Caenorhabditis elegans: one gene and its partner. The protein of the gene in region 2 interacts with the protein of the main gene of each other region in a pairwise test. Each region holds a gene or a part of one and is shown on either strand. Other genes may lie near its edges.

The links.
Region 1: the proteins of dre-1 (region 2) and skr-1 interact in binary tests that used the Caenorhabditis elegans proteins (3 or more experiments, as listed by UniProt).

The regions. Positions count from the first base shown.
Region 1 is NC_003279.8:9,469,574-9,473,290, reverse strand, and holds skr-1 (Skp1-related protein), read right to left. Parts: upstream 1,742-3,717; 5' UTR 1,728-1,741; coding exon 1,647-1,727; intron 1,463-1,646; coding exon 1,187-1,462; intron 1,142-1,186; coding exon 968-1,141; 3' UTR 646-967; downstream 1-645. Other genes in the region: calm-1 (EF-hand domain-containing protein), read left to right, coding at 1-82, 377-594; skr-2 (Skp1-related protein), read right to left, coding at 2,837-3,010, 3,056-3,325, 3,507-3,587. UniProt on the Caenorhabditis elegans protein: Probable essential component of SCF (SKP1-CUL1-F-box protein) E3 ubiquitin-protein ligase complexes, which mediate the ubiquitination and subsequent proteasomal degradation of target proteins.
Region 2 is NC_003283.11:6,543,235-6,548,443, reverse strand, and holds the start of dre-1 (F-box domain-containing protein), read left to right. Parts: upstream 1-1,952; coding exon 1,953-2,082; intron 2,083-4,672; exon of another isoform or gene 4,673-4,878; intron 4,879-5,209. UniProt on the Caenorhabditis elegans protein: Substrate recognition component of a SCF (SKP1-CUL1-F-box protein) E3 ubiquitin-protein ligase complex which mediates the ubiquitination and subsequent proteasomal degradation of target proteins including blmp-1.

The DNA of each region.
Region 1 (3,717 bases), on a different chromosome or scaffold from region 2:
GACGATTTTTTGGACATGTTCTCAGTGTTTTCGGAAATGGCACCACTCCAGTTAAAACTGAAATATGCTTTCAGAATTTATGGTAAGGAAGAGATTAGACATAAAATCATTTGATATTAACAATCCATAAAAGTTATATGGTTCTTATTACGTAGACGTCCATAGTTGCGAATTTTCACCACAATTTACGCGCAACGTCTCGCCATTCCGGCAACGGGTTACTGTAACTCGCGTAAATAAATTGTATTATATCATATTGTTATTTTAACAATCATGACATAAATTTTGCATTTATATCTGATAAAATTATATTGCAATAGCGGTCCTTAGAGGTCTGCGTAATAATATTTAATTTAGTATCAAAATATTGTTTTAGATTACGATGGAGATGAACTTCTTGGACATGATGATTTGAGTAAAATGATTCGAAGTTTAACAAGAGATGAGCTGAGTGATGTAGAAGTTGAATTTATAATTGAACGAATTATTGAAGAAGCTGATTTGGATGGAGACTCGAGTATAAACTTCGCAGAATTTGAACACGTTGTCTCTCGATCACCTGACTTCATTAGAACTTTTCATATCAGAATTTAAATACATTCACGGGTTATATTTTTTTCAATGTTTTACATAAATCGTTTGTTTTTTGTATCGTCTCATCAACTTTATTTTTAGGCATGTACAATCACGTAAAGGACACACTGATGTTCATTGGAGGAAATGTGTGAGAATCTCACACTGCATAATTTTTGCCGGTCGGTGATTTATAGGTATAAATATAGAATGGCGGTTAAAATTCAAAAGATGCATTTTAATTAGGTGAAAAAAGGAAGAAGTTTTTGGGCTGCCAGAGATGATGTAAAAAATAGACAGAGACCATATCAGGACAATGTGTGAAGTGTGAAGGGGAAGGAAGCGACATGTCGTTTAGAAATGTAATAGAGAAATAGGCAAACTGAAGGGTAATTTAATCCTCGCACCAGGCATTCTCTTTGCGGATTTGCTCTTCCTCTTCCGGGGTGAAGTCGTTCTTGATGTTGAAAGTGCGACGAATCTCTTCTGGAGATTTTCCCTTGATCATGTTAGCAACAGTCTTGCAGGTAACATCAAGAAGTCCCTTGATGTCCAAATAGTTGGCAGCCTAAAAATATGAATTTCAAATATTGGAACTAAAATAACAAGTTACCAAGATGAGCTCGAAAAGGGTTCCTTGGTCAACCTTAAGAAACTCGACGTCCCAGCTGCCTATGTCGTCAGTTCTTTTCTCGCGGTTATCGGAATCTTCAGTCGAGATAGGATCGGAGTGATGATGGTTGCACCAACTAATGACCTTCTTCAGAATCGAGGCAGTGACGTTTTGAACTGGAATTGGCTCAGCGTTGGTTCCTTCTTCGTCGTCGAGTCCAAGATCCATCAGGAGAGTGTTGATAGTGTTTGAGAGACGGATCACATTGCGTGGGACCTGGAAGTTTAGTTTGTGAATTTTCAAATATAGTGGAACATTTAACATTGTCTATTTTTCTATAAGTCAGATCACCTAGGATACCAAGAAGCAAAACTCTACGCGCGCATGCATGCAGCACGGCTTATCGATTTAGTTTTTTTAGACAAAAATAACGAAAACGAAGGAATAATTTGAATCTTACCAAGAAGATTTCGTTATCCGAAGACGATATCTTGATTTCGCGTTCCTTTGCCGCCTCGGATACTTTCTTTTGATCAGCCATCGCGTTGAAATCGATTGAAATTGAGAAATTATTGTGAAAAGAACGATTACATACAAATAATAAAGAAGAACAGGTAGAAAAAAAAAAGAACGATTAAGAGTATTTCCATCGAGAAAAATTAAAAGTTTTAAATTTTCCAACGCAAAATACCTGCAAAACAAAGAAAAACAACGAAAAATAGAATGAGAACGTTGAGAAATGAGCGAATAGAATGTGAGTGTGTCGTATGATGCGAGAGAAGCGAGGAAACAGTGTAGAGAAGCGAGGAAACAGTGTACACACAAAGGAAGAGACGCAGAGTTATCGATCGTTATAGAACGCAATGCGGGAACGAATTGACAAATATGACAATTTATTGGATGGACAAAGTCTTTAAAAAAATACTAGAAAGATAATGGAGGAACGGTATATTTACTAAATTTCGAGTTGCAGATATTCAGAGATAATGTTTTTTAATTATATAAAATTAAAAAGAGAGCGGACGGCGTACATAATATAGTCTTTTCAGCGAATATCGGCACTCGATTTTTGATAGATAGAAAAAGGAGAATATCAGGAAAAAAAAAATGAAAGAAATGGAAAAAATAGATCTCGTTTTAAAGATATCGCAACTTTCAGTTAAATGCGGGGATTTAGCAGCGTCAGGCGCAATATGCGATAAAGTCATGTAAATACATTACTTGAATAACCCCATTCGCAATTAATCACAGAAAGTAATTTTCATTCACACGATCCGTAGCTTTTAAAACTGAGAAAAGTATTGTTTTTTTATTTATTTCGAAATCTACGCGCGCGGAAAACGAAGCAACTTTGGCCTAGAATTTCACATCTCGTCATCTTCCATTTCAAAAGTGAAGGATCTATAGTCCTGTTCAGACTAAAAAATACTATTGCTGTGGCTTTAAAACCAATTGCATTGTTTGCAATTTTCATGTTCACATCAACTTTATTGAATGAAAAACAGAACTGTACACAGTTGTGTCAGCTGGCAGTGAAGAAATTTGTTAACAATTAAAAAGTGCGTTTAATAAGGGGAAAGATATGGTGGATGATGTGAAACATTTAGAAAACAAGGTAATTGAAAGTTTAACAGGGGAAAAGATGGAGATTTAATCATCGCACCAGGCGTTTTCCTTACGGATTTGCTCTCTCTCCTCTGCAGTGAAGTCGTCCTTGATGTTGAAAGCACGACGAATTTCATCTGGAGATTTTCCCTTGATCATGTTGGCGACAGACTGGCAGGCGACATCAAGAAGTCCTTTGATGTCCAAATAGTTGGCAGCCTGAAAATAGGAATTTAAAATATTGCAACTAAAATAACAAGTTACCAAAATGAGCTCGAAAAGGGTTCCTTGGTCAATATCGAGAAATTTTTTGTCCCAGTCTTGGATGGAACCATCCGTTTTCTTCTCACTGTCTTCAGTTGGAATTGGGTCGGACTGGTGTTTGGTGCACCAGTTGATAACCTTCTTCAAAATCGAGGCAGTGACGTTTTGCACTGGAATTGGCTCAGCGTTGGTTCCTTCATCGTCGTCGAGCCCGAGGTCCACAAGAAGAGTGTTGAGAGTGTTTGAGAGACGGATCACATTGCGTGGGACCTGGAAGTTCAGATTGCAATTTTTCCCATGCCATCTAGCGTACAGTGCCGCTTTTTTTGTTGATTTATTAAAAATCAACTAGGCTACTAAACATTTTCTATAAGAACTGCGAAAGCGTCTTATCGACCCGAAGCCTAGTTTTTCAGATAAAAATGACAATAACAAACGAATTTCAGCTTACCAAGAAGATTTCATCATCCGAAGACGAGATCTTGATTTCGCGGTTCTTTGCTGCTTCGGATGCTTCCTTTTGGTCAGCCATCGTGTTGTAGTTGACTGGAATTAAAATTAGTTGTGACAGGGTCACTAACGAGAGAAGTGTACAAAAACCACGCGGAAAAAACAAAGCAATGGTTTCGTTGGAATTCTATCAGAATATCTGCAAAATAGAA
Region 2 (5,209 bases):
TCTTCCAATTCCGGAGACTCCCACTTTTTGTAATTTGAAAGAAACACACATAAGACGCGCTTGACCCCTGTCAATTTAGAAGATATGCATCTTTTAGATGAAGGAACAAAAAACCCGCGAAAACGTGGTGTGAATTATTTAAAACTCTTTTTCTCCCCCTCTCATTTCTTCACTCTTTTTCTTCCCAAATCCGTCCGGTTTCCATTTCGCCGTACGTTGACGGTGGTGAACGGTGGAGAGACTTGTTCAGTGTTCTAGATTATATGGTTCGATAAAAAGTACAGTTTTGAATACTTTCCTGTTTTCCATGTATATTTATCTTTTTTGGAATGACACTTTTACCGAATTTGACACCTTCGGATTCTGGTTTTGATGTATTCAAAGTTTAATTACAGTTTTTCTGATTTTCCTTGCCCGGCAAAGTTTGAGTTTTTATTCCAACAATAATTCCAGCAAATGATACTCTTTTCTTGAAACTGGAAAAAAAATCTTGGAAGCTTGTTGAAAAGCTATATAACTCAAGCCTTTTAATTTTTGCCGACTATCGAGTTTTCTGAAATTTTCCTTTCCTCACAATCAGTGGTAACATTTTGAAATAAATGTACGCTAGGTTAAAAAAATATTTTTTGAAATTGAAAAACGTAAAACTTACCATAAGGCCCATTTGTGAAGTGGCAGCAAAAAAATGTTGTGCTATTTACCAGACAATATGCTGCAAAATGCAACAAAAAAAATCAATTACATAATTGATTTCAATTAAAGCGATTTCATTGAACGAGCATATTTTTCCTTTTGCGACCACATGTTTTGAATAAAAATCATTTATTGAATTTAATTGTCAATAAACATTAAATAGTTGTGTCCAGAAGCCATGCTATTACCCATAAGCAAAATTTCACGATTTTTAGCCAACAATAAAGTGCCCGGTCTCGACACAACAAATTTTTGTCAAAAGCGAGAAGGTGTACTGTGATTCAAACTCTCTTTTCTACACAGTTATCATCGATTTTTCATAATTTTTCGTTGAAATTTTTAGACCGAGTACCGTAGCATCGAAAATACTATGATTAGAAATCTGAATTATTCCAATTTCAAATGAGAATTCTAATGCTCTAAACCTGCTCCATAAGCTCATCTACTCCCCCGTAAATTGAATATTTTTCTTATTTTTTTAAAAAATAAGAAAACGAATGTAATAATCCTGACACCACATTGCCGACTGCACAACCGAATCAAATATTTTATTCCTCTCTTCTTTTCTTCTTTGAAGAGCTCATCATCTCCTACATATTTCCTTCCTCTGACGTCTCCAAGTAGAAAAAAAAAGAGTTTGCCTTCTTTTCCCAAGAAGTTTTCTTCCAACTTTTCTCCCATTTCTCATTACTTTTTCTATCGGCTCGTCATCATTTGACGACCCCAACTTATCAATGAATTTAACACTGATAAATGCATTTCCACGTCGTTCCTCGGTTTTCCATTTCATTTTTCTTCGTTTTCTCGTGACTTATAAGCAATGTTTTAGGGAATTAGGGAATGTCATCCTTGAAGGTTTCCAGAATAAAAACTGTCTAGTTTTAGATTATATCATAATTTGAACTGTAGAAAAAATTTCCAAATATCTACTTAATTTACAGAAGTTATCTGGGACACTCTCCACGTTAACAATAATCTCAAATAGATATACTCCGTTCCTCTAATTATTGAATTTTTTAAAAAACTAATTCTAAATGTTTACTCTTATATTATATTTTTTGGGAAATTGCAGTTTTTGCTTTGTTTGCTCTTTATTTCCCACAAAAACTATCATAAAAACTCTCTCTCTCTCTCACTATGCTTCATGAGATTGTTTTTAAAGTTTAAAGTTTTTTATTTGGAATTTAAATTTTTAATATTTTCACACACATTATATTTTTACACCTTGAAACGTCCGTAATCTTCAATAATTTCAGTTGATGGCGGAGGAAGAAGAAGTGTCGAGTGACGATGTGCTTATGGAATCGCGGCCTTCTCTCGTTTCAACGAGAGCCGCGCATCTTTCTCCAAAACTTCAGAGAAGAGGATCCTCATCTGCACGAAAATTCGGTAAGTATTTGAAGAAAACTAGGTCGGTGATGAAGGATACAGCGGTGTTCGATCATCGATCGTCATAAGCTTATCGTAGAGTGTATGTGTGACACTGACCTCTGTTGACCCGCCCGGTGGATTCAATTCTACTATCTGTCCGATGTATCCAATTTAATCTTCCGTTTCTCGTGATGTTTGTGTTGCTATTGACACTTTAAAAAATTAAAAAGATCAGACTAAAAATAGGAACAAGCAAATTTGATAATGATGAACATAAAAGTAAGAGCTCAAAAAATAATTTCTCCACGTTAATAACTTTTTCTCTAACTGTAACAGGAGTGCGCTCACTAAACTTTTTCGAATTTCCACCACGATTGTCTACTTTTAAAAAATGTCCTAAAAAGGTGGCAATCACATCTATGTTCAAAAAATCTCTAAAATAGCACAACTAGCAAGAAAAATATTTCAGCTCGTTTTTAGTTCCAGATGAAACTTATGTCTTTTAAATGTGAGTCTTGAAATATGTCATTACAAAACATTACAGTTCTTTGGCCTGAAAGAATTTTGCAAAGATTTTTGTCAAAAATTTTCAGAATGACCTTTTCTAATTCAATGTGCTCCTTTGTTGCCAATTTTTAAAAGTAACCTATTGCCAAGGCACTCTTTCAAATGATATAGGTTTTATTTAGAATTCTAAAAATATGCTGAAATACTTTCATGGGAGCTGGATTTTTTGCCCGAGCCTTTTGATGCATAGTGTTTTGCACTTTTTATTGTGAATTCTGCAATGTCACCTGATTAACTATTGTGGCGTTTGCTTATGGAAACCGGAGAAAACTAAAATTTCATTGAATGACGTAAGTCACATTTCAAATTTATTCTCACCTTTTCTGGAGTGCACAAAAAATTACATAGGCAATACACTTTTTTTCAAATTTGATGTCCTTTTTCTTTTTGTTTTTCAAAGCATATTTGAGCTATAAAACTTGACCCGAACCTATAAATTACCACTCATCATCGGGTTGTTATCTCGTGTCGGGTTCATCGCAATAACATACATGAAGAATATTGAAAGAAGGTCGTCTCTCGAGTCAGTGAGTGGTGTCTTCTAGTAGTGCACGCCCGGTACCACCACCGGTCAATGTGTTGTTGCCGTTGCCGACGACCATTTTCCGCGCATCTCATCATCTCCCCCTCCCATGGGCCACCTTCCACGTGTTGTCTGCGTACCCTCACCTTCGAAAGAAATGCCAACTGTGAATAACAATATCGTTATGTTGGAGAAAGGACAGGCCGGCACTGACATACACTCACACGCGAGATTTTCGTTAGATCACTTCGGAGTTGTCTGCGTGTTTTTCTTTTTATTTCTATGCTTTTGAGGTAATATGAGACATTTCAAAAAAAAAAATAGAGAATCATCAAAAAAGTGATGAAGAGAATTTGGCAGAGTGAATCGAAAAACTACTTCCGGCTTTTTCTTTTTTTCCCATCTATGTTTTCATTTTTAGTCAGCTGCTTTTATAGTTTTCGTATTTATATTTTTTGTGCTTTTCTTTTCTCTTGTAACCCCTTTAAACTTTTATCAGGACCGATGGAAAATAATTTTCAAACTGTCTGATTAAAATACTTTTTCTCAAATTATTTTCCTGTTGAAAAAAAGAAAGACTCGAGATTTTTTGGTAATATTATTTCCGATTTGATCAATAATCGGGAAAAAACTTTGAAAAAATGTTCCGTTGGAGACTCCCCATGAACATATTTTAAAAGTACATGTGGATTTAAAACAAGTTTGCAGGTTTTTGAAACACACATTTTGGAACTTTATTTTTAAAAACTCACAGTTAGCAAGAAATACAATTTGCAAATTTTTTCTGCAAGTATAAGATTTTTCTAAATTGGAAAAAAAATACCTGAAGCTGCAAAACTTTGCTGTCAGGTGATATTTTATTACCAAAAAGAAAAAAAAATCAAAAATGTTTGAGGAGTAATTTTTTAAAGTATTAAGAGAATTGAAAGAATTTTGTGAATATTAAACCATTTTCCCAGTTTTTTCGCAGTGAAAGCTGATAGTTTTAACGCCATCACATTCATTTTTTTTTAAAGTTTCTCGGCAAAATGGCCTAACTTCGTAGCATACTCTTGCAACTTCTTAACAACCATTAGGCATTTTAGCTTTTAAGCAAACTTCTGCAGCTTTTCAGACGACTTTTGCAATTTTTTAGCAGATGTAAAGCTAAATTTCGCTCACAATCCCGTTGGTTTTCGCAACTTCTTAACAGCTTTTTACAAAGTTATATGAATGTTTTTATTAAGTTGCAGGAGATTGCTATGAAGTTGCGACGTTTTGCCGAGTTGGAGTTAACATAATTTCTGATGTGTCTAGTTGGGTAGTTCAACTGGTCAACATCATTTTCATCCCTGTCATTCTCAAAAAACGGAGCACTACCCTTGATCTAACCTAACCCAAAAAAACTAAACAAACAGTGACCCTGGCACGGCTTGCTCCTAAAGCAAACCCATTGAGCTTCTCCCCAATTTTTTCACAGTTAGTTCTCCTTCTCGTCCCTTCTTTCTCAATTCCACAGCGTGACCATCATCACTAGCCCAATGGATCCACGCCCCATCTACATCATACAGGGGGCCGACGACACCGAATCCAGTTTCAATTCATGGCTATTGCTGACTGCTTCTTGCCCTCATTTTCCTCTTTGCTACATGCCACATTCTCTCACTCTATGTCCTCTTCGGTGTAGGCATCGTCTCCATCGTCGTACAGTTGGACGTTGATGACGATGAAGACTAGGGGCATTCAAAAACTGGCCAAAGGCATTGAATGATGAAGGACAAGAACACCTATATGCTTCTGTAAACATCGATGCTTTTGTAAATTTTATGTTTACGCACCTTTTGTCGCCTCCCCCACACATAAATTGCTATTTTCGGAATGTTTCTTCTGACCTCCTACAATTGTCCCATCAGGCCGATTCAATTACACATTTCAATCTAGTCTTATTATTGATTAGACACATCATCACATCCTCCTCTTCCGTCCCTGCTACTTCCTTCAAAACATAAACTTTTACGACTTTTTTTTCTTCTCTTCTTCTTCTTATGTCTTCTTTTTCTTCTTCCAGACGATGTT